4 linked regions of the Saccharomyces cerevisiae S288C genome follow. The protein of the gene in region 1 interacts with the protein of each later gene in a biochemical or structural test. Each region holds a gene or a part of one and is shown in the gene's direction. Other genes may lie near its edges. The genes, in order: CMK1, GSF2, ERS1 and CMD1.

Region 1 (7,769 bases):
CGATTTTCACCACGCACGCAACTTTATTGGGTAGATACTTGTGTGCCGCTGGTGATGTAGATTTTTATAACAATCTACAGTATTTTGATGTGGACCAAGAAGCTGGTAAGAGAGGCATATATCATAGGTACTGCATTGAGCGCGCTGCGGCTCATACTGCCGATGTTTTTACGACTGTGTCGCAAATCACTGCATTAGAAGCGGAGCATTTGTTGAAGAGGAAACCGGATGGCATTTTGCCCAATGGTTTGAACGTTGTTAAGTTTCAAGCAGTACATGAATTTCAAAATCTGCATGCCCTGAAAAAGGACAAAATTAATGATTTCGTCAGAGGCCATTTCCATGGTTGTTTTGATTTCGATCTAGACAACACAGTTTATTTCTTTATCGCTGGTAGATATGAATACAAAAACAAAGGTGCTGACATGTTCATTGAATCATTGGCTCGTCTCAATTACAGATTGAAGGTTTCTGGATCCAAGAAGACGGTGGTAGCGTTTTTGATCATGCCTGCCAAAACCAATTCCTTCACTGTGGAGGCACTGAAAAGCCAAGCCATTGTAAAATCTTTGGAAAATACTGTTAATGAGGTCACCGCATCCATTGGGAAGAGAATTTTCGAGCATACGATGAGATACCCTCATAATGGCCTAGAATCAGAGTTGCCCACTAATTTAGATGAGCTGTTGAAGAGTTCTGAAAAGGTTTTGCTGAAGAAAAGGGTATTGGCGCTGAGAAGACCTTACGGGGAATTGCCTCCGGTAGTCACACATAACATGTGCGATGATGCTAACGATCCAATTTTAAACCAAATTAGACATGTTAGATTATTCAATGATTCGAGTGATCGTGTAAAAGTGATTTTCCATCCTGAATTCTTAAACGCCAATAACCCTATCCTTGGTTTGGATTATGACGAGTTTGTTCGCGGCTGTCACTTGGGTGTTTTTCCATCCTATTACGAACCATGGGGGTACACGCCAGCAGAATGTACCGTCATGGGTGTCCCATCTATCACAACAAACGTTTCTGGGTTCGGTGCCTACATGGAAGACTTGATTGAAACAGACCAAGCGAAAGACTATGGTATTTATATTGTAGACCGTCGTTTCAAGAGCCCTGATGAATCTGTCGAGCAATTAGCAGACTACATGGAAGAGTTTGTAAACAAGACCAGAAGACAAAGAATCAACCAAAGAAACAGAACCGAAAGACTATCAGACTTGTTAGATTGGAAGAGAATGGGGTTGGAATACGTTAAGGCTAGACAGTTGGGTCTTCGTAGGGCCTATCCAGAGCAGTTCAAGCAACTGGTGGGTGAAACAATTAGTGACGCCAATATGAATACTCTTGCCGGTGGCAAGAAATTCAAGATTGCCAGGCCTTTGAGTGTACCCGGATCCCCCAAAGTAAGGTCCAATAGTACTGTTTACATGACTCCGGGCGATTTAGGTACCCTTCAAGATGCTAATAATGCAGATGACTATTTTAATTTGAGCACGAATGGAGCCATCGACAATGACGATGATGACAACGATACGTCTGCATACTACGAGGATAATTAAAACCATCTTAACTTCTGCTAACATATCTTACTCTTTTAGCTGAGCATCAAATTAATTTTAGTATTGCACGTTCTGTTATTCTTGTATAAGTACATAGAAATAATAGCAGTAGAAAAAATAGAAGTAATTTTACCTTTACAGTACATATGTGTTAGTATAAGGAACCTTTTACGTGGGATACTTTGCTTACGAAGAAAAGGCTGAAAAAAAAAAAAAAAGAAACTCCCCCCGCGTTTAGAATGGTGCAGCCGAGCTACCTACGCAGGGGATAAAAAGAACGAAAGCCACATCGACTACAAGCCAGAGTATAAATGGTTTCAATTCTCGTAGAGAACTCACAATTATATAATATTGGAAGACACCAGAAAAAATAACGAGTCAATTACTATGGACGACAAAGTTTCAGAAAAGGAGAGCTCCCCAAAACAAACAGAGGAGGATTCTGAAGGTAAAATGGCACATGTGCAGCCTGCTTCGTACGTGAATAAAAAAAAATATGTTTTTGGGAAGACATTAGGTGCTGGTACATTTGGTGTGGTGAGACAAGCCAAAAACACTGAAACAGGGGAGGACGTGGCCGTTAAAATCCTGATCAAGAAAGCACTAAAGGGAAACAAGGTTCAGCTAGAGGCTTTATACGACGAGTTAGACATTTTACAAAGACTGCATCATCCAAATATAGTGGCATTTAAGGATTGGTTTGAATCAAAAGACAAGTTCTACATTATCACGCAATTAGCCAAAGGGGGTGAATTGTTCGATAGGATTTTGAAGAAGGGTAAGTTCACTGAGGAAGATGCAGTGAGAATTTTGGTTGAAATATTGAGCGCAGTCAAATATATGCATTCTCAGAATATTGTTCATAGGGACTTGAAACCGGAAAATTTACTGTATATAGATAAAAGTGACGAATCTCCACTGGTAGTTGCTGATTTTGGTATCGCAAAGAGATTGAAAAGTGATGAGGAACTCCTCTATAAGCCGGCAGGCTCACTGGGTTACGTGGCTCCAGAGGTACTTACTCAGGACGGTCATGGTAAACCTTGCGACATTTGGTCGATAGGTGTCATTACGTATACTTTGCTTTGCGGTTATTCGGCGTTTAGAGCCGAAAGGGTTCAAGATTTCCTTGACGAATGCACAACTGGTGAGTATCCAGTGAAGTTTCATAGGCCTTATTGGGATTCCGTTTCCAATAAAGCAAAACAATTCATCTTGAAGGCTCTTAATTTGGATCCTTCAAAGAGACCGACCGCCGCAGAACTCTTGGAAGATCCATGGATTATTTGTACCGAATTGAAGACGCACAATTTATTGCCTGGGTTAAAGGAAGGATTGGATGCTCGTCAAAAGTTCCGTAATTCTGTTGAGAGAGTCAGATTAAACATGAAGATCCAGAAATTAAGAGATCTGTATCTTGAACAGACAGAGAGTGATTCAGATTTTGACGAAGGAAGTCAAGCAAACGGTTCAGTTCCTCCATTGAAAGCAACGGATACCAGTCAACTATCCAAGAAGCTATCAGAAGAAGAACAGTCTAAGTTGAAGTCCGAGTTAACCAGCAAAGCTTTTGCACAATTAGTTAACACAGTGCTTGCCGAAAAGGAAAAATTTTTAAATATTAACAGAGTCTGTAGTTCTGATAGCGATCTTCCTGGGAGTGATATAAAGTCTTTGGATGAGGCGAAGGAGAAACCAGAGGGGAAGGATACCAAAACAGAAGAATGATAACAGTATGCCGTTTTACCACACTGGCGAATAAATCTTCAATGACTTTGTAAGCTCGAATATGCGCAAGATTTGACTTTGATATTTTGCACTTTTTCGTCCTCACTTTCTACCTTTTTTTTTTATGCCTTAGTTGAAAAGATACGCGTATCTAATTATGTACTAATAGTCTTAATTTTACATTACTTAATTAATCGAAATGCAGCCTGTAAGGAGTTTCACAATCTTCACGTTCGTTGAAAGCTAGTTGTCTAAGTGCGCTGCCTTTTAACTCTACCATCATCAAAAGAAGAATCATTGTCGTTGTCATCATAAATATCAGCTTCGTCGTCTTCTTCATCATCGACATATTCCTCGCTATCATATTCCGTATTATAGTTTACAGTCTGTCGCTGTATCCTTCTCAACTGTCTCTTGCCTGGCTTCATGTCTGCAAATTGCACTTTCATTTGTTCAAACTGACGAAGAATGAAATAGTAATCAGATAAAAATTCCTTTAATATCTGTAACTTCTTTCTCGCAGTGTTATATTTTGCGTCTTTTGGTAGCGGGTTTGTATTTATGGAGGGATTATTATCAGTGGTAGATTTCTGCTCCAATATGTGCGCTTCATTATTCAGTGCTTCTTTTTCTTTTTCATTTCCCTCCTTTTTCTCATCTTGAGGTTTAACAATTTTATAGTCCAAGAACTCCAAGAACTCCAGCAGTGTTGCTGAATCGTGGCATAATTCATACCAATAAACCTTCCCCGATGTATTTCTGCCTCGTGCAACATCATGCGCCAACGATGGTGTGTCATGGTAAAACAATTTGAATTGGGCACTCATCGATTGTCCATCATTTTCAAACAGTGTAAAAGCGTTGTATTCATTATTTTTGAATTTCGATAGCAATGCTTGTAGATTTCTCAAATCAGTGAAGGTGCTCATTTCGAGTGAGTCCCCATAACTGTGTAATCTTGGCATATAAAAATCACCTATATGGGGAACTCTACCAAGGAAGAACTCTTGTAATCGCAATTTATAAAGTCTTTCCGAAAAAGGATTGGCTAATGGTTGATCAGGTAATTCGCCTTCAAACAATGGGACCCACTTGTCGTACAGTGAGAACAAAAGTTCATCCTTTTCGGATTTTACAGCGTTCTTCAATTCCGCTTTAATTTCCTTCAGTATTTCTAGCTTCCTTGATAAATCTGGTTTTTTACCCTCTTTTAGTTGTTTAACAAAATGTTTTTTCTTACTTCTGATTTCATATCTTGATTGAATTAGTGAGCAGAGTTTTTTAAACTGATTTATGGTATTATCTACCCCTTCAATTGTATACCTAGGCACTTGTTGTGTTTGGATGCCAAAAACGGGATCTTTTTTACCATGAGTTAATTTGTATATCTCGTCATGAATAGCAGATGAATGGGAAGCGCACCAGTCAGTTAACGCCCTCAATAAAACAACGCGATCCATTGGTTTGAGCGCCAAAATTCCATTCTTGTCCATTTCTCGATTATACAAAGGATTTGATTCCAATGGGAGTGGTTCATTAGCATTCCAGGTATATATATTTGGCGTTAAAATTTCTGGATGACTGGGATCCACCACTGGTGTTTGTTCATCTTGTTCAAAAAGAGCAGTTTTAGGTTTGGAGATATCTTGGTCACTGGGGAGTTGTTGACGCCATTCTCGTGGATACCCCCATTCGCGAGCTACAAGTCTTAACCGATAAAGAGGATTGGAAAATACTTTCTTGGAGGACGATTTTAGATTCTCCCAGGTTGTTAATGGACCTTTCTTCTTGGCACTTTTACCATCAAAATTTTCAGTAAATGTTAAATCTAACAAGGATAGGAACAGTAAATTCATTTTGTCTTGGCAATAGACGATATCCTTGATGGCCATAAAATCAGGATATAGCAATAAGGAGGTGTCTTCAGGACCCTTCACTATACCAGCTGCGCTTCCATTAGGATCGCCGGGATACAAATCTAAACCGACCTCAAAATCTTGGAATGATAAATTTTGTAGGTCAGAATGGAAAAAAGAACTAAACTTATTTATGAACGCCATCAGCTTAATGATATCTCCAGCATATGGCACAGGCTTCATGTTCGGATTTTTTAACCTAGAGATGACACTATACTGGTTCTTGAAATCAGAAGTAAGCAAGGGTATTACAGAAGTCCAATTGCTAGGGATCAAAGCGGGTTCTACTTGTTCATGGGCTGGTTTAGGTTTCGGCGCCACTTTTTTGTCATTAGTCTTCAGTGTAGGTTTGCCATCCTTAGCAATTGAGGTAGTCTTCTTTTTCTCTACTTTATCATTTGATTTAGAGTTCTGTGTGGAAGGTGCCTTTTTCTTAGGAGGAGCAGGTCTCTTCCTCTTGGGTTTATTCGCCCTTTCCTTTAACTCTTCCTCGTATTCATCATAAATGCTCGTTCTTGGCTTAGGAACACGTCTTGATCTCCTTAAATTATCAGAAGATTGTGAAACACTAACACTTTGATCGGTTTGTAAGGGCATAGCCATTGATACGCGATCATGATCATGGTCAGCAAGCTGTGCGGAAGAGCTGCCCTGGGCTTCTTGCTGCAAATTCTGGATAGAATTGGATGGAGAATCCATAAACAATAGGGGATTGCAAACTTTGCTTGAAGTACTTGGTAAGTGATAGTTTTGTTGGCCGAAACCAATGTGGAAGATATCACCATCTTAAGAAATTAAGTCCATTCATTAGTATAAACTCACGTAATTTCAATGAATTTGTTAAAGTTTCAGCAAATCGTGAAGCACGATATTTCACTTTTATGATCCGAGAGGGAATATTACTAGTACTTCCACGCATAAGGAAAGTCAATGTTAACAAATACCGCCATACCGCCATACCTGTCCTCTGTAGTCACTGCTAATGTTAATGTAAATAAATTACATCTAAAAGTTGTTTTCTCTTCAGTAATTTTAGAAACCGTTAAGAGGAAAAATGGGCACTTCCTTTCTTTGTTTCAGAAATTAAGCTCAAAAAGATGGGCTCGATAAAAGTAGCATACTATTTACTCTATCTTATTTTTATTTTCTATATACTAGTCTATCAGACTCAGACGTCAACGATGTGGAATACGGATGGAATCATTAAATAGTAGCAAGAAGTACTTTATTCTTATTTTTCAAATTGCGGCGCGCCAACAAAACGCGTACAAAAAAAGCAGATTGGATAGTACTTTATTCTTGTTATTTTGTCATTGGAAAGTATAAGCTGGTTGTGGATTACTCTTCACACGATGTGCCTGTTTTTTGTAGGCGGGCTTGTACTTTCTGGGGAGCATGCTGTGTATGTTGTAGGTCTGTGGCAATGTTTGTCGGGAGTGTTCGCTGTTACCATGAGTTGTCTGTGAGTAGTAGCGATTGTAATTGTGGTTGTATCCTACTGGTCTTCTTCGGGAATACCAAGGAATGAAAGAGTTATGAGGAACCTCACTTTGATCCTGGTAATTATTTGGTTGTTGTAGTTGATATTGGCGGGGCTCTGTGAGACAATGATTTTTTTTTGAATATATTTTAAAGCAATCGGCTGATTGGGTAGCCTCAACGCCAAATAACCAAGGAGGGTCGTAGTTATCTTGTGAATGGCTTGAGATTCCCTCATAATATAAAATATTTGCCTTTTTTTTTTCAGTAGGCATTTCCACATTTTCTTGCTTTGCAGGTAAGTCGGTTATATTGATTTCATCCAAAGATAAGGATTTTTGATTTTCAACATGCCTTCTAGAAAATATTTGTTTACCATTCAACTTTGGAGCGAAGAAACTCACCAAACCTGCTTGCTTCAATGGAGATTTGATTTCAGGCGGTGGTTCATCTTGATTTGTTACCGCCAGTTTATCTTGATTGGGATCTAAGGTCCTTGGTAGATCATTAAAAAGACTTGTGATGTCATACACAGATTGGTCTGTGCCCTTAGTTGTTTGTGGATAATTTTCGCCAAGGGAACTTGATGTTTGACTCGTTCCATATAGTTTGAGAATACTGTCTACGTTCTCTATACTAGCTTCTTTAGCTATGTTTTCTGTCTGACTGCGCAGACGTATCAAACCTAAAACTGAGAAAATGCACGCCAATAACGAGCAGAGGGAACAGGGAACAGTTAGCCAGCCACACCAAGTCGTATAAGGATGAAATTGTAACAGGATCACGGTGCATGCAAAGTAACAGGATCACGGTGCATGCAAAAATAGTTGATAAAAGTGTCAATATGTGTAATATAGCGTTGGAAGTAATAAGTGAGACATTAGTTCCTCCAGTCTGAAAAAGAAAAATAATAACCAAGGGAAGTGCAAAAGAAATGAAAGTCAAACATGTAGCAACCGGTATCGAAATCAAAAGTCCTCCTATTGTATGTCTTGCCTTAGGACTCAGCCACCAACGTTCAAGAGAAGGGCCAGGTAATATTTCTTTCGAGGTGTTATATATTAAACGTACTCGAGAGCAG
Region 2 (8,342 bases), on another chromosome or scaffold:
GGTCTCTACCTAAAATGGAACAGGAACCCTCACATATTATTTCATCCTCTATACCATGCCGTCCTTGTAACACAACACTTCCAGATTCCTCTTCATCGTCTTCCTTACGCATATTGTTATTCTTCTTTCTTGATTCATAATCTAAATAAAACGTATCATCCGCCTCAGCCATTATATTCTCAATGTTTCCCATCATAAAAACATTCCCCTTGGATAATAAGGGGATAAAGCATCCCACGGTTCCTTGTAAGCCCATATAGATACAACCAGGTCTATCAGAATTTGAAAGGCTGTCCAGGATATGGAAATCAGTGATGATATCATTAACAAAGAAGTGGTTCAGTAGTTGAAACTTGAACTTGCAATCATAAGTATTGGGTAATTTCTGCTGTAAAGTGATGACGTCTAGTGGGTACTTGATGGCCCCATTAGATAATTCGCTGGGATCATGATTTGACATGATTTTTTCGCACTCTGGTGGAGACCTTAAAGTCCACGCATTTCCATATCTATCAGCGCCTATAACAGTTGCCTCATCTAGAAATTTCAATACCGTCACATGGCGTTTTACAGAGTCATCTACGTACGGAATAAATACATTCCCCGCAGGATCCCAGATAAATAAAGTGACAGATTCATGTATATCACCAACGGCCAGTCTTTCATAATTCCACTGGTGCATAGACACAATTTTTGTTATGGATACCGGGGTCTGTGTTACGGACCTTCTTAATAATTGCTTTTTCCCCAAACCATAAAGGACAATAGTGGAGCCCATGGCTGTCAGCAAGAAGTTTTTAAACTTCAACATAGCATGTATTGGTGAAATGATTTCTGTTTGGTGAAGTAATTCAATATCAAAAGATAGTTTATCTTTGTTAACTAATATCTTGTATGTTAACAGCCTTTTGTCGCCAGCACAAATGATCAAATGATCAGCTTGTCTTGTGAAATCTATTATAGCAGCGGAAACGCAATCGATATCGTCCAGTATCTTGTATAAATGATCCGAACTGCCAAACTTTAAGCATTCACCATCAATTTGCAGTGATATACGGCATTGTTTCTTACCACTGTGATTATCAATAAACAAAATGCTTTTCGGATTATTGGGAAATGATAAAATAGTACGAGGTCGGAATGTAGATATTTGTAACATTTCCATTTCTTCTTCCATTTCATCTTCTTCCTCTTCATTGCTTTCATCTCCTCCACCGTTCTCTTGCTTGTTAACACTTGATTCATGAACGTGAAACCAGTTATCCAAAGTTGGAAAGTTGGAAACTCTGCCAATATTTAAGCGTCCTGAGCTCGATATTGAACAAACACCGTTGATTGCAACATCTGCGTTAACAAATTTGGAACAACTTAGCATGTTTTGATCCTTTAACTGCCGTATGGTCCACACATTTTTCCACGTGTAGCTTACCCATGTAGAAGAGGAATGGCAAACCACGCATGACATCCATTTAGCTCCACTACTATTTATTTCTTCTTCTTCTTTTTCATCATCATCGTCTTCTTCTTCTTCTTCTTCTTCCTCATTATTTAGTGATACAGATATCTCACGCAAATACGAAAGGGAAACAGGCTTCAAGCCAAGGAATCGCCTTTTTATGTCAGTGAACGATCCGTCAACATCCCCTATATGAAATTTCATGTAAACGCCATTTTCTAAACCTACATGCAAATTAAGCTGTCCTATTGAGGAATCTCTAACCATTATCATGTCAGAAATCTTTTCACTAACTAATTGCAAACTTATTACAGTTAAAAAATCTTCCTTTTGGTCTTTAAGAGACATTATTTTGATCATACCCTCATTGTCAGCAATGGCTAATAAATCAGCATGCTGCGTATCTTGCACAATCGCAACTTTAGAGGGCATTGTGTCCAATTCTGGGTGGGTGGTTAATTCGATTAACGAATCCGAAGATACATCTATCTTGAAATAAACCAATTCGTAATTTGATAATGATATAATTAGTTGTGTTTTCGAGGACGTGGCACATACAATACGAATTCCCGCTGGTGGCACCCAAGTCAGCTTATTAGAATACCTAGATTTACCAGTCGGTACGATATGTCTTAGTTCTGCGGTGCATACTTGGATAATAGAGTGTGAGCCCATTAGGCATGTATGAATTGTTGTGTCCTGAGAGAGCTTGAAAGCTGAACGCGTTGCTTCATCCGGTGTTAGTTCCTCCATGGACTCGTTGTCAATTTGTAGTATCATAGTTTTCTTGGGAAAAGTTATGAACAAAAGAGTATTGTTATCGCCGGTTGTTGCAGGATCGGGTATTAGCCATAACTTGGTTGCGTTCGGGGGTAAACTAGTAGATATCAAATTAGAGTAATTCACAGCATTTGTTAAAGTTATTATCTTGTTGTTTGTAAAATGTTTAGTGGCGATAGACAGTGGCGAATCACTGACAATTTGAGATTTTATTGAAGGGTTCAAATTCAATTGTTGCGATAATATGCTCAAATTCTGCAACTTTATGGATGGTTCGAAAACTAGCGACTTATTTGGATCTTTTGAGGTTAAAACATTAGAAAAATCATTTTTCTCTACACCAAGTTTCTCAAACTGGAAAAGAAAGTTGTTATTCATTTCAGATAGTGCAAAAAGATAACCGTTTTTGAAAATGTGTAATTGGTGTGAATTTTGGATTGTATCAAAGTAGGACAATTGAACTAAAGGTCTATTTCTATCATTAGTGTCTGGACTTACAGTTAACTTAAAAAGATCGCCATGGTTAGATTGTAAAAGTACGAAAAAATCATTTTTCAATTTCTGCACTATGCCTGATATGATTGTTACATTTTTATGACGGCTATTTGTGATAGATCTTTTGGGTATTTCCACTTTCAGGCTGAAAAATCCGTTCATATCCTTTACCAGAATATGATTTTCGAAGCCTATGACAACAAAAGGGTTGAAAAGGGTATCATAGTCAGCATCATAGTTGTTGTCGCTTAGCGAAGTTGTTATATTATATCGCGATAGATCTGGCAAACTCAGTACGAAATTGGCAGATGGGTTAACTAAATAATCTGCCTTCTTGACGATGTGATTCAAACCCAACTCGAGGACATAAAATATCAAGTGTACTGATAGTTGAGTAGCGGCATTGTCGATTTCTAAGGTAACAAAACATGGATTATTGAAATTTACATCAACAACTGCCATATCCAGCGTTACCATATGGGGTCTGATGATTTCCAATGGAGACGAAATCCTCAATTTTTGAGCATAATCAACGAGGAAACACAATTTATTTTGTTCGACAGATGAGAGAATGATACAACGCCCATTAGGGTCAATTTCCATGTATGATATGGGAGAGACTCTTCGAAGGGTGGTCCTCGTCAATGGCTGGTTCACTAAAGTCTTAAGTCTAAGAGCACCTGCATGCATAATGATTTGCACGATACTTAGGTTACCAGAATCGGAAGTTAGCGCTAGAAAAGTGGGCCAGTTGGAAGCTTTTGCCCTTGACCCTGAATGCGGCAGATCCAGCGACTTCATCGAGGTTATCGTCGCAAACAGGTTTTGAAACTTGGCAATAAGCTTTAGTTCCCCATCTGCAGTATCATAAAGTTCTAAATGCGTCTCAGTAGCTACGCACAATTGCGACTGCTCACGCTTGGACCCTGCTTCCAGATCGACGAAGTGTCCGATGCAGGAGTGCACGAAATTCGTCTGTTTCTTTAAAGTAAGATGGTACAAGTATAGCTCATCATCTTTAGCAACCATTGTTATGTTATGGTCACTCCTTGTTCTTCTTTCAGCCTCTCGTTTTAAACCGTCATAAGCCATCGTTGTGCTAGCTTGCCCAAATAGTTTACGCATCTTCGCCGTGTGGGGCGACAAGCTTACTACTGCCATTTTGCCACCTCCCCACATTTAATGATGGAAAATATTATAAAAAAGCGAGAAAAGAAGCTAATGGTGCCATTGTTTTCCTTTTTAGAGAGGGGCAGCAGAGATCGGTGGACTTTGTTTTGATAGAGGGCGATTGCAAGCATGGAGATTTACATTAGACTTAACGCAGATGTCGAGCACGACTATGCGTTTCAGGTGTCAAATGAAGACACCATAAATAACAAAATTAAGAAGATTTTCCCTTCCAAGACGGGTTTGGCGGACTTAATGGTGCTGAGACCATCAATTTTCCATGAGAAGGAGCCCGTAAAGTTCTATAAGTCTATCCATCCAGGGTACCTGTCCGAAGGTGGTTGTTTGATGTTCCATTATGAAGCTGATAACGAAGAAAATCTCGAGGAGTTGAATGACTCCAAGCCGCTTATTGACCAGTTGTGGCCTGGTCAGCTAGTTGTTCCGGAGTGGAAGCTATCCAAGAAAAACATATGGGTATACACCATTATTATGTTGGCCTGGCTATATACCGATTTGCCCGACGCCATTTCTCCAACCCCAGGTATTTGTTTGACTAATCAATTGTCTAGACTATTGATTCCTGTAGCCAAGCACATGGATTTACCTGAAATTGCCGCTAAACTCGAACAAGAAGTTCAGGCAAACTATTCTAGTCTCGTAGCTCAATGGCTTTTCTTTGTCATGCACATTTTCAAAGTGGGCATAATTACTTTATTCCTCAAATTAGGCATTGCCAACCCCATCAGCTTCAATCCTTACAAGTTATGGAGTTTGAGAGATTTAACTTCTCCTTCTGCTAACGGCGCTAAGAATTCTGGCGGCAATAACAACACTACTGACTTAAAGACACGTTTGCGCTCTCTGGGCTGGATTGGTGCTAAGAGAGCTACTTACGACGATTACCAGACTAACTATTACAACTATGTCATAGATAAGATGGGTGGTGCAGTTGCTGCTTATAGAGCGGGCGCGATTAGGAAAGCTGCAGCACCAGGTATCCAACTTGTGGCTGGAGAGGGTTTCCAAAGTCCTCTAGAAGATAGGTTCACTGCTTCCACTTTCACGGCTATTAAAACCGAACGGAAATTCATTTTAAGTGAAGAATACTTTGTGGAGCTGGAAAACAATCTAAAGAAGATCTTGGAAGAGTATGACGGGGATATTGGTAAGATGAATGCTGAAATTAGGAGGTTTAGAAGGTTTGGTATTTATGAACCAGATGAAAAACTGGCCTCGCTAGTTAAGCTCAGAAGAGAAATTGCTGATGAGAAAGAGAAAGCATCAAACAATGATGCTACTTTTGGTATAAAAAAGAATGATTTGAAAAAATCTAATTAATTGTAAAACCAAAACACTACCATCCAGACTTTTTTTTTATTCAACCATAGCCTTTAACTACTACTACTACTACTAGTACTACTACTATTACTATTACTATTACTACTACTAGAGGGCCTTTTTTTACTCCTAGTATTTTTGTACTATCCTATTTACTCTCGTTGTTTTTATTAGTTTTTTCACTCTTTTTTTCAATTCCTCACGAATCTACTGTTTTCGTAGTGCTTTTTTTTGTTTCATTGTTTATAGCCATCAATGGTTTTTGTTACTATCATTATCATTATAAATATTTCATACAATATATACAATATATATACAATAAATGAGAATCGATTTACTTTTAATGCATTTTTGCAGTCAAAAAAAGCTTCGTTTACATTTATATGTATTTATGTTTGTATTTCTGGGGGAAATATGCCTTTATGGGCGTATATACTCTTTCGTACGTTTCTACATCCGAGTAGCAGTAGTAACTCGGTATTGTGCTTTCGTCGCCATAATCAGGACTATCATAATCGAATTTTTTTTGCGTTTTGTTGTCACCACATATGGTCCCTTCTTCCTCATCATCTATCAATATTCCCAATTCGTAGACAGTTCTACTTAAATTCTCGTCAATGACTTTAGACACATACTTTCGTAGTTTCAATTCATACCCCTTAACCTTCCTTTTACTAGACAAAAATCTCGGACGTATAAAAATGATGAATATTATTATGCTTAGAATTAATTTGCTTATTAAAATTACCCATATGATAAACGAGAACAACATGAAGGACAAGATCACACTTTCTTCGTAATTTGTCTTAGCAATATGTTTTATCTTGTTTATTATTCCATTTAGGTCATCTAAATTACCTAGGCTTTGAGTACTATGGGTTCCGCTACTGGTCTCATTCGAAACTGTCAGTAAAACTGACCACAAAGTTAATCCGTTGATTATTTGCCTTGGAGAGTCACCGAACAATAGCCTCAAACATCCACTGATTTCAAAATATGAAAAGAATAACCACTTACTGAATTTTTTCTCATCAGTCAGCACTATTAGTTCGAAAATTTGATACTTTTTGAAATTGAACAAGCAATTTATTAATCTGCTAATGCCATTCATGTAGTTCGATGTAATCTCTTTCTTCCTATACACTCTCAATCCAATTACCAACTCCCAAATTAATATTAATGAGGAGCATAATATGCATCCGCTAAACAACCATTTTGAAATACGGAATTCCAAGAATGGTTGGATGATATTGTTCGACCATGTGTTAAATGCCAGTAATTTAATACACGTGTATATATCAGAAAAAAACATGGCCACATGTAGTATCGACTGACACCAGGTGTATAGAATATACTGTAATTTTGTGGTCCACTTCGCAGTAGGAATAAGATTTATGTCAATATCCTGGAATTTCAATTTTTGTAAACTTGATTCCATTATTTAGCGCTTTGTTGTCATTTTCCTTTCCCTCTTAGACAATGTGGTAAAAAATGCCAGCTCCAGGGCTTTCAATTAATCCATTATTGATTTTTAATCTGGAGGTTTGAGCATGGCTGAATAATTTATATACAAATATCTTTTTTTATTGTTTCAGATCATTCGTTTTCAGTATGATTTACTATCATTCATTTTCTTTTTCTTTACCATTTTACGTCGCCGTCGCACATCTTAAAACAAATTTAATACAGAGTTGAAAGTTTCAGACTTAAACAGAATTTACGCAAGAAAGTTTTCAAAGTCCTAAAGTAAAAACGCGCCTTCCACAGCCATTTCTTTGTTCAACAAAAAGTTTTGGCCCTTACTGCTATTGGATACTTGGCAATCCGTCTTTCGTTATGCCAGATGAAACAAATTTTACAATAGAAGATATTGAGCCTAGGCCTGATGCCCTTCGAGGTTTGGACACCCAGTTCCTTCAAGACAACACAGCATTAGTACAAGCATATCGTGGTTTAGACTGGTCAGATATTTCTTCGTTGACCCAAATGGTAGATGTTATAGAGCAAACAGTGGTTAAATATGGCAATCCAAATGATTCAATCAAATTGGCCTTGGAAACTATTTTATGGCAAATATTGCGTAAGTACCCTTTATTGTTTGGATTTTGGAAGAGGTTTGCTACTATTGAGTACCAGTTATTTGGTCTCAAGAAATCGATTGCTGTTCTGGCCACCTCGGTCAAATGGTTCCCAACTTCTCTGGAGTTATGGTGTGATTATTTGAATGTGTTGTGTGTTAATAACCCGAACGAAACGGATTTTATTAGGAATAATTTTGAAATTGCAAAGGATCTTATTGGCAAGCAGTTTCTATCACACCCTTTTTGGGACAAGTTTATAGAATTTGAAGTTGGGCAGAAGAATTGGCATAACGTTCAAAGAATATACGAGTACATTATTGAAGTTCCTCTACATCAGTATGCGCGGTTTTTCACATCTTACAAGAAGTTTTTAAATGAAAAAAATTTGAAGACAACAAGGAATATTGATATAGTTTTACGAAAAACACAAACAACAGTAAATGAAATTTGGCAGTTCGAATCGAAAATCAAACAGCCCTTCTTCAACCTGGGCCAAGTGTTAAATGATGATTTGGAAAATTGGTCGCGATATTTAAAATTTGTGACGGATCCTTCAAAATCCTTGGATAAAGAATTCGTAATGTCCGTTTTTGACAGATGTTTGATTCCTTGTCTTTACCATGAAAATACGTGGATGATGTATATTAAGTGGCTAACAAAGAAAAATATATCCGATGAAGTGGTAGTGGATATATACCAAAAAGCCAATACGTTCTTACCACTGGATTTCAAAACTTTGAGGTATGATTTTCTTAGGTTTTTGAAAAGAAAATATCGGTCAAATAATACCTTATTCAATAACATATTCAATGAGACAGTATCGCGTTATTTAAAGATTTGGCCCAACGACATATTACTTATGACGGAGTACCTTTGTATGTTGAAAAGACATTCTTTTAAGAATTCCTTAGATCAATCGCCAAAGGAAATTCTAGAGAAACAAACATCGTTTACTAAAATCCTAGAGACATCAATCACCAACTACATCAATAATCAAATTGATGCCAAGGTGCATTTAC
Region 3 (7,960 bases), on another chromosome or scaffold:
AAATTTGATCACCATTTTGATTTCTCGTGCCGCATTAATCAAGCAAGATTCATCAAGATCTAATATTCTTTCCTCTCCTGAAATCTCCACATGGAATGAGATTTATGATAAATTATTCACTTCATTGGAAAGTAAGATTCAGCTGATTTTCCCTCCAAGGGAATATAACGACCACATCATGCGTTTACAAAATGACAAGTTTATGGATGAAGCATACATTTGGCAGTTCCTAGCTAGTTTAGCACTAAGTGGAAAGCTAAACCACCAGAGAATCATTATTGATGAAGTACGTGATGAAATCTTTGCCACTATTAACGAGGCGGAGACCTTACAAAAGAAAGAGAAAGAATTGAGTGTATTACCTCAGAGGTCTCAAGAATTAGACACAGAGTTAAAATCTATTATTTATAATAAAGAGAAACTATACCAAGATTTGAATTTGTTCCTAAACGTTATGGGGTTGGTGTATCGCGATGGTGAAATATCAGAACTAAAGTAAGATTTTTCCTGTAATTTTAATGTACTTACGCATGTATTTTTTTTTCTCCCTTATTTTTTATTTCCTACCCTTTGTAGATCATTTATTGTATATGTTTTTATATAAGTTTATATAAGTTTGTTATCCTTTTTTTTTCATAAAAAACCCGTATTAGCATCAATAATACCACCATAGTAACGCAAGAGTTAAACAATGATTGAGAATAAGGTTGAACTGGTAGCAGAACTAGTGTTGGAGTCCATCGGTAAAACTGAGGTGGTGTCACGCCATACAGAGGGAACCAAATCATGCCAAGTGAGTTTTCGCATTAAAGATTCTCCCAGTGAGAAGGGTTCAACATCGTTTCTCTCTGAGCTAGTGGTGATTCAGACTCTGGATGACAATGACAAGTATACTGTTGTTATTCGTCATGGTACGTCGATCACCATGGCATGTGTGGTGGGTTACAGCGATTTTAAATTGCCCACAGAATTGAAATGGCCACTAGAAAGAGAAAGCTTACCTGTGGAGCCAGACCTGAAACCTATAATGACACAACTTAAAAGACAAACTGCAGGTAGTGCGGACATGCCAAAATTTGACGATGAGTACCAGGCACAAGCAAGACAAAACCAGGGAACAGCACCGTTGAACCCATATCCCGGACTTACGGTAACTGAACCGAGCTTCGCTAACCCAGCAGGAGGGTATGCGGATGGTGATCTGTATCCTGTTGGCACAAGCCATCCGGATTGGTCTGGAGGGCTTCCCAATCCTCTGGGGAATCCAAGTAGCCAAGGCGGTATGATTTTCGATCCAAATAGAAGACCTGCCCCAAGACGGGAAGATATGCCGCCAGGATGGATGCCTGGATCCAAGTACGACGAACCATTTGGTCCTGGATCTGGCGGATTTGGAGGTTCAGGATCCGGCGGATTTGGAGGGTCAGGATCTGGCTTTATTTAAATGGGTGTTTATTTTAGTACTTTGTTTATTGTGATATTTAGTTTTTAGATAGTATACAGACATAGCTATGTCGAAAGGGAAGGAAAGAATTTATTGAGCGCTGGTATATACAGCTAAAGTGATATCATTGCGTTTGTACAGGTGTACGAGTAGCGAATCTCCTTGAACTTGAGCAAAACCTTCTGCATCCAGCGTAACTTTCGATAAATCACCGATATCTTCGATCCTTTGACTGCCCACGCCGGTAGACTCTATAACGTTACCGTGAGTATCGAAAGCAATGGTTCCCTTAATATCAGATTGTTTTTCCGCTTCCATCTTTGATTTGGTTTAGGTGATTTGGTTTGAGGTTGTGGTATTGCCCTTTAATAGCGGAATCCTTTATATTTTTTGATAATCTTGAAATTTTAAGGTGAGTTTCCATATGTAAACAAGGGAAGAAAAACTAAAAGCAAACAAAAGCAAACGCGAAGCAAAATGGTGTCGTTAGACGATATACTAGGTATCGTGTATGTTACGTCATGGTCGATATCGATGTATCCACCGATAATCACCAATTGGCGCCATAAGTCAGCGAGCGCGATATCGATGGATTTTGTCATGTTAAATACGGCAGGTTACTCTTACCTGGTCATATCCATATTTTTGCAATTGTACTGCTGGAAAATGACGGGTGATGAGTCTGACTTGGGCAGGCCCAAGTTGACGCAATTTGATTTCTGGTATTGCCTGCATGGGTGCTTGATGAATGTTGTCTTATTGACCCAGGTGGTAGCTGGAGCGAGAATCTGGCGATTTCCAGGTAAAGGTCACCGCAAGATGAATCCATGGTACCTAAGGATTTTACTCGCATCACTGGCCATTTTTTCACTGCTAACCGTACAATTTATGTACTCCAACTACTGGTACGATTGGCATAACTCAAGAACTCTGGCGTATTGCAACAATTTGTTTTTACTCAAAATATCGATGTCACTAATCAAGTACATCCCACAAGTGACGCATAACTCGACAAGAAAATCTATGGATTGTTTCCCCATTCAGGGTGTGTTTCTAGATGTCACTGGCGGTATCGCCTCGCTGCTCCAATTGATTTGGCAGTTGTCTAACGATCAAGGTTTCAGTCTGGATACGTTCGTGACAAATTTTGGAAAAGTGGGACTGTCAATGGTAACTTTAATATTCAACTTCATCTTTATCATGCAGTGGTTTGTATATCGATCTCGAGGCCATGATCTGGCGTCAGAGTACCCGCTGTAGCACACAAGGAGAAATCTGCATAATTACGCATATATATATATATATATATATACATAAATATACATAAATATATGTATGTATGTATGTATGTGTGTATGTATGTATGTACACACATGCATGGTTTAAATAGACAAACCTTGGTGGAATTTATACTTTTTTTTGGTGACGAGGACGTCCGTAAGAGCATCGTCGTCAACAAACCATGATACACGACCAGCAGCACCTTCGTTGACAATACTGCTAGGTAGGCCCTTTTCAGGCCTTTCCATAATGGTCTTGATGATGGGCGCCTTGGTTGCACCTTCGACAACGAAAGTAACCCTGTGAGAATGGCAGATTACAGGTATAGTCAGCGAAATTCTGGTCGAGGGCCCACTAGGAGCGTTCTCCACGGGCACCACCCATGCAAGTTTCTCACGTAGATTGTCCTGGAAGTTAGGGAAGAGTGATGCGATATGACCATCGGGGGCACAACCAAGCAGGAACAAGTCGAACATCGGAAGTTTGACGGAATCTCTACCGGCAAACCCGCGGATTAGCACCTTTTCATAGTTATCAGCGCATTCTTGCGGGTCGTCAATCAATGACTCGTCAATGTGGTACACCTTCGGAGTTCCATACTTCGCCGTGTCTATCAGGTCCAAAATCTTCCTTTTGGCGCATCCATAATTGCTTTCATTCGAGCTGAAGGGTACAAGTCTCTCGTCTGCAAAGTAAATGTCCCAGTCTCCCCACCGTACATCGTCTCGTTTTAGCAGACCTTCGTGTAGCACTTCGATCAATGACCCACCGGAGAGAGCAATCTTGAACCGTTTCTCCTTTTTGGGCTTACTGCTACCACTGCCACTACCACTGCTACCACTTTTCCCTTCCGCGGCAGATGCTGTGCTTTTGCAAGAGGCCTCTCTCGTCATATCCAGTGCATTCATGCTGATGTTGGGAACAGAGTGTTTCCTCTCGTTCTTTGGAGCCAATGCACCGTCTTGCGCGTGGACTACATGGTCAGCTACGGCCTCTGCCACGTCTGAAAACTCGTGAAACGCGAATATCTTGGGTACCGTCGTAGTCATATTGTCTTGCTGCAAATTGCTTTCTGTTCTAGTCCATACCTACACTGGATATGACGATGATGATGCCACTATTATCATTGAAATTTGTTAGGAAAACCCCTGTAGCGCCCGCCCTATTTAAACCTAATTTCCCCAGGATGTCTAATCACATTTTCTTCATTTTTTGGAAACTAGACCTTAACATATTTCGTATTAACCCTATGTCTCGAATTGAAAATTTCGCGGGTCTTTTCTCTTGCCTTGGTACCTTATGTAAAAAAGCGATGCCAGGAACAATAGGATAAAAATAGCAGCAACAACATACGATAAGAATTGAGGATGCTAAGCTAATGTTGTTTTACTTAGGGTGGCTATAAAAGGTAGTTCCTTGTAGGTGAAAATGATGATGGATATACTGAATACACAGCAACAAAAAGCGGCTGAAGGCGGGAGAGTTCTGGCTCCTCATACCATCTCAAGTAAGCTCGTGAAGAGATTATCAAGTCATTCCAGCCATAAACTATCAAGATCTGATTTGAAAGCATTGGGTGGCTCGGAAACAATAAGCGACGGCCCCAGTCAGCTGACTTTTAAGGACCGATACGTTTTCAATGAATCGCTATACTTGAAAAAGCTAAAAAAGACCGCTTTAGATGACTACTACACGAGGGGCATAAAACTCACTAACCGCTACGAGGAAGACGACGGTGATGACGAAATTATTCGGTTGTCTAATGGCGACAGAATTGATGAAGACCTGCACTCAGGTGTCAAGTTTTTCTCCACTACACCTTATTGCAGGAAAATGAGGTCAGACAGTGATGAACTAGCTTGGAATGAAATTGCGACCGAACGGTTCAAATGGCAGTCAATGCTGGCCAGAGTGCTGAAGGGAGATATTGTTAAAGGTGAAAAGACGAGGATTGCTAACCAAGTCAAGAAACCAGGGTTAAATAAGGAGCTCTCAGATGAGATATGGCTCGAATTGAAGGCATGGCTGAATGGGAGGACCATGCAAGAGATGGAACAGTCGCTTACATATTTAAGAGATAGTTCAGATTCCGTTTTTGAAGAGATAATGAAGTTTCAAATTCCACAGGGCAAGATATTGAGCCTGGATGCACTGGAGGCCATCTTACAAGACCTCATGAACAGATATCACAGCGTTGTCTCTTATTGGCCTAACTTGAAAAAAATGTATAAGGATAAACCAATCACCAATACTGCAGAATTTACCGCTAGAATAGACGTAATGAATTCTTGGCTGAACTTTAAAACGAACTTAACGTTGAGGAGGCAAGAGTTGGACGACTGGATAAACCGTTTCTCACCGATAAGTAGTTCGGATAATTGCCAAGAGGATTTTGATGGTGTGCCCCAATGGAACTGCAAAATGAAGATTCTTGCAGAACAATTGATGAAGGAAAAGAACATCGAGTCTATATTCCAAAAAAAAATTTTCTATCCGCTATCACCTTGGATGTTCAAACTGAAACTACATTTTATAGTCTACAGAGAAACTTTGACAAAGATGAACATAAAATATCCTTATGAAAGGTTAAGATCACTACTGGCGTTCCCCGTCTATTTAATCAAAGAAGTTATTTTGACTAGATTGTCATATGCACGAAAGCTTAAAAATCCAACAATGATGATGATCGATCAAATGATCGATGATTTTAACGCTTTTATTCGACTTTCTGTGCAATTGAAGTACACACTGACAAAATATTGCTCCAATTTGCCGTTCGATGTGGATTTTGACCCGACGTTCGAAAATACTGTAATAGAAGCCATTCGTTATTTATTTTTTCTGTTGAATTTAAAGTTGATTGATTCCAGTAAACAAAATTTCAAAGCACCCGATCTACTCTTGAAATACTGGGATCACCTAAAAAACACCGGTCACTATATTAACGGTGCAGAAACCGTGATTCCAAATGAATTTCTCAAGTTAACTTTGAGACTCGTACATAAATTGCAATTCTATCTTTTGAAACAACAAAACTTCCCACCAACATTTGCTAACGCTTCAGAAGCAGAAAAATGGCTAAGTTCCATTTTCGAAAATTTGGGTGCCATGAAAAGAAAGCTGAACAGGTTCAGCAATATTCTAGTCAAGGCGTTCCAAAATTCTGCTGTTTATCAGATTAATCATAATGCACAACTTGTTAAAAAGTTAAAAGATGCTCACTATTTTTTGGTATACTCCGGTAACACTTTTGAGTCTAGTGGTGTATATATGTTTGCTGCTCCTGAATTATTAGGTTGTGACAATGATACCATCTTAAGAATTTTGCGAAATAAATCCATTGGCTGTGATTTGGTCCCAAAGCTTGACATTGGAAATAATTTGAATGTGTATGATATAACAACAAAAGAAACAGATTTGAACATTCTAGTATCGAAAGGGGAGGATTCCAAAGGAATTCCTTACTACCGAGTAGTAGCAAATTCGTCAAGTGATTTGGACAGGCATGCTCATCAGTCCAAAAAGAAGAATTTTTCAACAGACCCTTTTGATCAGCACCTTGATGAAAAGAACAATGAAGTTTTTGAATTGGAAGTTGCTTTGAGCTCATTGGGTGCACTAGTTGTACTATATCCTGGAGAGCCAGTAGTTTGGGATGGACCAGTATATAAGCTTCCAGGTAACAACCTTTTTGCATCCAACGAAATGGATTTAGGGAAAATTGGTAACCCAAATACGTTGATTTTACTCAATCAAGGTTCTAATTATGCACTGACTTATCAAATCGACAAGTTTAATCAAACGGTAGGTGATTCTGTTTCATTCATAGAGAAACGTTGTTCACTCAATTCAATTGAATCCTCCCTACAAAAAATCAATAAGGCATATTACAAACTTACTTATACAGTATTGAACAACTACAAAGGAATTCTAGGTAGCTTTATGAAGCAATGTCCGGGAAATGAGTTGTTAAATTCGATATTCATGTTTGGAAGGGATTTTGGAAGAAGTTTCCTTAAATATAACGCCTTTAGCTCAAAGAGGAAGTACGTTATCATCTTTCTGATGGTTAAATTAGGAATGAACTGGTTGAAATTCCTTGTTGAAGAGTGTGATCCTACCGATCAGCGAACTTTCCGATGGTGCGTTCTTGCAATGGATTTTGCGATGCAGATGACTAGTGGTTATAATATCCTGGCGCTGAATGTAAAGCAATTTCAAGAACTGAAGGAGAGGGTATCAGTATGTATGTCATTATTAATTTCACATTTCGACGTTATGGGTGCACGAGCCACTGAAGCTGAAAATGGCATGCAACAGGCAAGATTGAATATTGATACTGAAGAGAATATTGATGAAGAGGCCACCCTAGAAATAAACAGCAGGTTGAGACTGGAAGCTATAAAGACGTTGGAAAAGACTATGAAGAGGAATCCCAGGCAAATGGGTAAGGTATTGGATGCTACAGATCAGGGAAACAAATACCTACTATCGCTAGCATCCTCATTATCGAATGTATCAATGAGGTGGCAAAAAAGAAGCTTCATTGGCGGTGGAACATTTGGACAGGTATACTCTGCAATTAATCTGGAAAACGGTGAAATCTTAGCTGTTAAGGAAATAAAGATACACGATACCACAACAATGAAGAAGATTTTTCCCCTGATTAAAGAAGAGATGACCGTATTGGAAATGTTAAACCATCCTAATATTGTCCAGTACTATGGTGTCGAAGTACATCGCGATAAAGTTAACATCTTCATGGAATACTGTGAGGGTGGTTCTTTAGCCTCGTTATTGGATCATGGAAGAATTGAAGATGAAATGGTAACACAAGTGTACACATTCGAACTATTAGAAGGTTTGGCATATTTGCACCAATCTGGCGTGGTGCATCGCGACATTAAACCGGAGAATATCTTGCTGGATTTCAATGGAATCATAAAATATGTGGATTTTGGTACGGCACGTACCGTTGTAGGATCTAGGACTAGAACTGTGCGGAACGCAGCCGTTCAAGATTTTGGAGTAGAAACAAAGTCCCTCAATGAAATGATGGGGACACCGATGTATATGGCTCCAGAGACTATTTCAGGCTCGGCAGTTAAGGGAAAACTTGGAGCGGACGATGTATGGGCATTAGGATGTGTTGTGCTAGAAATGGCCACAGGTAGACGACCTTGGTCTAACTTGGATAATGAATGGGCCATCATGTACCACGTTGCTGCAGGTCGA
Region 4 (5,663 bases), on another chromosome or scaffold:
ATAAATCAGCATCTTTCATAGCAAAAATCAGAGATTCATGAAGCTCCCTTCTATCAACAAATTTTAACCCATTTACATTGTGTTGTACTAATTCGTCAAGCACTGGATAGTTCATTGCAATAACAGGAAGACCTGAGCCAAACATATCTAAAATTTTCATTGGCAGGTCCAACCCTGAACTTGAAGTATGCAGGGAAACTCCGTAATCGCATAATTGTAATAACTTTGGGTAATCCTCTGCTGACAACCACACAAATTCGATTTGACAGCGCTTCCAGTCATATTCTTCTACTTGCTTCATATATTTCTCCTTTAGTGGTCCTTTACCCGTTATAAAACACAAGATCTTAGGCAAACTTGAATCAAATTTGACATAAGAGTTTTCGTAAATCTTTAGGGCACCTAATAAAATACCAATATCTTCATCAGGGGTGAATGATGTTGAAGTCACAATAATTTTATCGCCTTTTTCTGTATCAAAATCATCGCGAATATAATTCTTTATAAAGGCTTTGGTAGTTAGGGCTTTTTGACGAGAAATGTCACCTGCCAAAGGTTGAAATTGGGAAGCCGGGCGGTCGTAGAGAACAGCACATCTCTTTGGATTCAAGTGAAAGCTTTGAATTAAATATTTCCTCATTGCTTCAGTAACAGTCAAGTTATAATCAGCAAATTTGCTGAATATCATCTCTACCATGTAAGATATCAACACTAAAGGATGGTAAAAGTTTCCTTTAAATTTTAGTTGCAATATCGAATATGCTAGATTGTGCCAATCAATAATTAGTTTACAACCGGTCAACTTGTATAGCACAGCAATCGGAAGAATGGGTATGCTCGGTGGATTTTGAACTAGTATGTAATCGCTTCCTCTCAATTCCCAAAGTAATTTGAAAATACTTAAAACTTGAAAAAGCACCTTCTTTACCATAAATATAACTGATGTTCCGCCTCCCTTTCTTTTCAAGTTTGACATATGATGGACGGTGATATTTGGATCACTGGAAATAATTTTGGGTAGAGTGTCCTCCACATAACCGCATAGCTCGACTTGCCAACCTAACTTACTGAAACTTATAGCGTGATAGCATATCCTTGGAGAGTGTCCTACATCACCCAGCACAAATATGATGATCCTTTTTTTGGTCGACTTGTTGCCATAAAACAAGTAGGGTATAACATAATAAACCACTAACGGTATGGAAAGGTATAATATTATTAAGGCAAGTAACCACCGAGGAATTTCCAAAAACATTTTCACCAATTGACTATAGCCCCTAAAATGCCGTTACAATTACCCTCTAATGGCTTTGCTAATTGCTGATTGAAAGATATATGACCAATTAACTTGATGATTGCTATATGCGCGTTCTATTGAAGCAACGTGCAAGATGATCACTGCTTGGATTGACCTTGTTTTAGCAACAAGCCATACAAAGATATCAGACAGGAAAGTCACAGTCAAAGCATGCAAAAATCGACAAAGCAAACATAAGTAGAACCTGAGAACATCAACCATATGTCCTAATGAATTCAAGCACCCTCTTTTCCACCCAATTTGAGACATTTTCAAGATGTATTTATATTTTCGTGTACTGTGATATGACTTTATTCTTAGAATTTTTTATTGCCCGCGTAAGAAGGTGTTTAACAAGAGATCTTGTTAACTCACAAGGGTACTCTGACTGGATAGAAATCTTATTCTTGACCGGAAACTATCGAACTACAAAGAAAGAGCTTAGTTAATACAAATAAAAAAGTACAATGTCCTCCAATCTTACCGAAGAACAAATTGCTGAATTCAAAGAAGCCTTTGCCCTCTTTGATAAAGATAACAATGGCTCTATCTCATCAAGTGAATTGGCCACTGTGATGAGGTCATTGGGTCTTTCGCCCAGTGAAGCAGAAGTAAATGATTTGATGAACGAAATAGATGTTGATGGTAACCATCAAATCGAATTTAGTGAATTTTTGGCTCTGATGTCTCGTCAACTCAAATCAAATGACTCTGAACAAGAACTACTAGAAGCTTTTAAAGTATTCGATAAGAACGGTGATGGTTTAATCTCCGCCGCTGAGTTGAAACACGTGCTAACATCCATTGGTGAAAAATTGACTGATGCCGAAGTAGATGATATGCTAAGAGAGGTTAGTGATGGATCAGGCGAGATCAACATTCAACAATTCGCTGCTTTGTTATCTAAATAGGTGCATCCTTGTGATTTTTTGCTCCCGCTATCTTACCCTTACCATTCTGGTTTTATAGTATTCGTTGAGTATCGTTTCATCTAAAGTTTGACAACCACACGCAAATATATACTGTACGTAGACAGGGTTAATGTTATTTATGTAGATAAGTAATGTTCCTGAGAAGACAGTTTAAATAAAGGATACGGATTGTTTACCAAGGCGGATAACTAAATTTAGCCAGTATTAAGTTCAATGTTGCGTAGCTATTTCATTATTTTAATTTATGCAGTCTGTCATCTTCTTGAGGAACAACATTTCGTTTGTATCTTTCAAAAGGATTTAAGTTATCGTCAGCAGCAGAAATATCTCCCGAATAGGCCCTCTCCATTTCAATAGGTCTTGGTTCGAGCGATTTTAGTAATGGCTTTTTCTTTGGGACCACTGGTGGCTTTTTCTTCAGGTTATCATTCTTTTTTGGGACAACAGGCGGCACTTTCTTTGGACTAGACCTAGAAGGTGGAGGCCTTGGTGGAGTAATAGACCCCGATGCAGACACATATTTTTCATCTAGATCTGAGGGAACAGGGCTAGAGTCCTTCACTTTTTTCGAACCGCCTAACTTTTCCAAATTAACGTTTGTTTTTCTTAATTTGATATGCGACAACTCATTGGTAATGGAGTTTAAAACTTCATCTTGTCCAGTTGCTTCCCTAGTAAGTTCCTTGGGATATTCATTGGCCTTTAAAGAAAAATTTCTAGGTTTTGGCTTTACAACAGGAGGAGGCGCCTTCTTCGTAGACTGTTGCGCTTGAATAGACGAAGTTACAGGAGGTATTGACTTTTCATATTTATTAGCATCTTTTGAACTATCAACTTCGGATGTTATAGTACCCTCATGTAACTTCTCAGATCTGGATGGGGCCGGAGGGGTTGGCGCTCTTTTTCTAATAAAGCTGTTGGGGGCATCACCCAAACGACCGTTTTCTGTAGAATTCTCACTCTTGGGGTTGTATTCATCACCATCATGGTGCTTAGCTATACGCCCACGCCCACGCCCATGATTTGCCTCAGGTCCGTCGATAGTATAAGAACTATCACTAGAATTGGACGATTGTGAACGCCTAAATGGTTTTGGTGGTGGCTGGAAGTTTTGAATAGGCTGTGTCTCCATATGAGCTCTTCTGAATTGAGATTGCGATTGCGGTTTCGATTGAGGTACCAACGATGGTTCAACGTTTCTATCTTCCTCAGAGGGGTGCCCTGGCAAAACTTCACCCTTCATTTCTACAGGTGATGCTTTACTATTCTGATTTTGTTTAGTTTCAGTATGTCTAAATGGCTTCGGTGGAGGTAAAAAATTAGAAATGGGATCCTCCTGTACATTAGCGGCATTCGTTGACAGCACCGACTCTGTCCTCTCAAAATTGCCTCGTGATGGGGGAGGAGGAGGCTCAACATTGTTCCGAGGAGGTAGAATTGGCACTGCCCGTTCTGGTGCGTTCTTCGTGGTGTGCTCAGAAGGTACAGAATCAAGTCCATGTCTGAAAGGTTTTGGAGGTGGCATGATGTTGACATCTACATCATAATGTCCTAAAATGGACGACTTGGAGGTACTTTCATCGTTTTCTTTGTTTCCAGAGTTCCTTTCATTGTCTGCAGTAGTAGTTCTTGAATGCTTTGCTGGCAATGAAGCCGCCGAAGAGGTTGTGTTAGGCTGTATTTTCCCACTTGGCGCAGGTTCCTGGTGTACAACTGCTCCTCTATCCCTATGAGTGGGAGGTGGTGGAAGGCTACTAACGTCTACAGTGGGAATATCGATTTTGGGCTTCGGAGCAGGTGCGTCTGGGTCAAATGGAGTAACTTCAAAATGTGGGGTTGAGCCAGTAGAATCAAGAGAAGGCTCAATCGGATAGATGTTTCCCTGTTGCATTGGTTGCGGTGGCTGTGGCTGCATTCTTACAGGCACAGGCGGTTGTCCACCGACTGGAGGCTGACCTTGCATGGGTGAAGCTCCATAGCTGGGGTTCGAATCTTGCATGTTTGTAGTACTTGACATGGCTTGGCCATAGACAGGCTGAACCGCAGCCATCCCAGAAACTCCTTCCACGTTCATTTGTGGCAACAAAGCGTTGTTTTGGTTCAGAGGCTGCTGTTGCTGTTGCTGTTGCTGTTGCTGTTGCCCAAAGCCATTTGACAGAGGCTCTCCGGGCGCTGGCAAGATCACTTGACCGCGCGGGGGCGGTAATGGTTGCCCTTGTTGTTGCTGTTGTGGTTGTGCAGGTGATGGTAAAACTTGCTGGCCAAACTGTGTCGTGGGCTGCTGCTGTTGGCCCGATGGAAATTGGGATTGTCCGAGATTGGTTGAGCCATGTGATACGTATTGCGGCTGCTGATGACACTGAAGACCGTTCTGGAAAGACGGTGATGGTGCCGGATTACTTGATTGGGTACCATATTGCAGATTTTGCGAGACAAACCCTGTGCTTTGCTGAGAAGCAGAGTTCAGAGATACCTGACTTGGAATTGCATTTTGGGGTTGATTTTGTTGCGGCAGCGACTGGTAGCTGGTTGCATTAGAATTTGACCCATACGGTGGTACTTGCTCTCCATATATAGGCGGCTGCTGTGGCACTACACCTTGTTGCAGCTGCTGTTGCTGTGGCATTACACCTTGTTGCAGCTGCTGTTGTGGATACTGATTATACTGTGGTTGTGCGTATTGTGACTGTTCCGTCGATCCTGCGCCAGGTTGGCCTTGGTATGCACCCTGAAAAGCATAACTGGCCTGACCATTTGGCATTTGCTGTTGCTGTTGTCCTGTATAAGTTTTTTGTCCAGGTTTCAAAGGTGGGGGAGGAAAGGACTTTGGGTCTTTTAAACTTCTTATATCGGTCGGCTTTCTTTCGTACTCCATCTCATCTTCGCTATCATACTCCTCATCACTTGAATTTTTCTTACCACTCTTCCTTTCCCTACGCGCTTTGCTGTTGTTATAGTGCTTCTTACTTGCCTTATACCCTGTCTTGGCAACGTACTTTGTTCCTTGGTAACCATATTTACCGGCGCTCTTCAGCCCTGAAGTGATGGAATCTTTGTTGTTCTCCCAAAATCCCATGCTGGTTGATAACTTGATTTTTTTATGAAAGACCTCTCTCGAACATACGATTATGTAAACTCAAAATGACTTTATCCATATATGTATACACTTAATTTAGATGATGAAATATAAAAAAATAGGGTGGTCCCTGGTTTTCCTGAAGCGCGATTTAGGCAGATCCAGTGGTACTACGGGAAAAAAAAATGCCGACACCGATATGAAATAGACAACAACCATAGTGGGATGATCTGGTCGACTGCATGGTTGATTTGATTGTCTATAGGTATCAACGTACTTCCTTTGGATGGAATGCCTTATACTTGGAAGTTTTTAGGAATCAGCAAGCAACTTTCACTGGAAAATGGTATAGCAAAGT

The links.
Region 2: the proteins of CMK1 (region 1) and GSF2 form a complex in vitro, tested with the Saccharomyces cerevisiae proteins (2 studies listed by BioGRID, with this or other methods).
Region 3: the proteins of CMK1 (region 1) and ERS1 form a complex in vitro, tested with the Saccharomyces cerevisiae proteins (2 studies listed by BioGRID, with this or other methods).
Region 4: the proteins of CMK1 (region 1) and CMD1 form a complex in vitro, tested with the Saccharomyces cerevisiae proteins (2 studies listed by BioGRID, with this or other methods).

Annotation. Positions count from the first base shown.
Region 1 is NC_001138.5:168,061-175,829, reverse strand, and holds CMK1 (calmodulin-dependent protein kinase CMK1), read left to right. Parts: upstream 1-1,952; coding exon 1,953-3,293; downstream 3,294-7,769. Other genes in the region: glycogen (starch) synthase GSY1, read left to right, coding at 1-1,565; IOC3 (Ioc3p), read right to left, coding at 3,545-5,908; YFR012W-A (uncharacterized protein), read right to left, coding at 6,520-6,606; DCV1 (Dcv1p), read right to left, coding at 7,334-7,769.
Region 2 is NC_001145.3:174,396-182,737, forward strand, and holds GSF2 (Gsf2p), read left to right. Parts: upstream 1-4,030; coding exon 4,031-5,242; downstream 5,243-8,342. Other genes in the region: U2 snRNP complex subunit RSE1, read right to left, coding at 1-3,910; pheromone-regulated K(+) transporter PRM6, read right to left, coding at 5,622-6,680; PRP39 (Prp39p), read left to right, coding at 7,079-8,342. UniProt on the Saccharomyces cerevisiae protein: May be involved in the secretion of hexose transporters from the endoplasmic reticulum. Involved in secretion of GAL2 and HXT1.
Region 3 is NC_001135.5:242,777-250,736, reverse strand, and holds ERS1 (cystinosin-like protein ERS1), read left to right. Parts: upstream 1-1,921; coding exon 1,922-2,704; downstream 2,705-7,960. Other genes in the region: deadenylation-dependent mRNA-decapping factor PAT1, read left to right, coding at 1-499; FUB1 (Fub1p), read left to right, coding at 692-1,444; EGO2 (Ego2p), read right to left, coding at 1,535-1,762; SOL2 (Sol2p), read right to left, coding at 2,827-3,774; mitogen-activated protein kinase kinase kinase SSK22, read left to right, coding at 4,154-7,960. UniProt on the Saccharomyces cerevisiae protein: Cystine/H(+) symporter that mediates export of cystine, the oxidized dimer of cysteine, from vacuoles/endodomes.
Region 4 is NC_001134.8:454,464-460,126, reverse strand, and holds CMD1 (calmodulin), read left to right. Parts: upstream 1-1,764; coding exon 1,765-2,208; downstream 2,209-5,663. Other genes in the region: ALG1 (chitobiosyldiphosphodolichol beta-1,4 mannosyltransferase), read right to left, coding at 1-1,255; AIM3 (Aim3p), read right to left, coding at 2,462-5,305; IML3 (Iml3p), read left to right, coding at 5,597-5,663.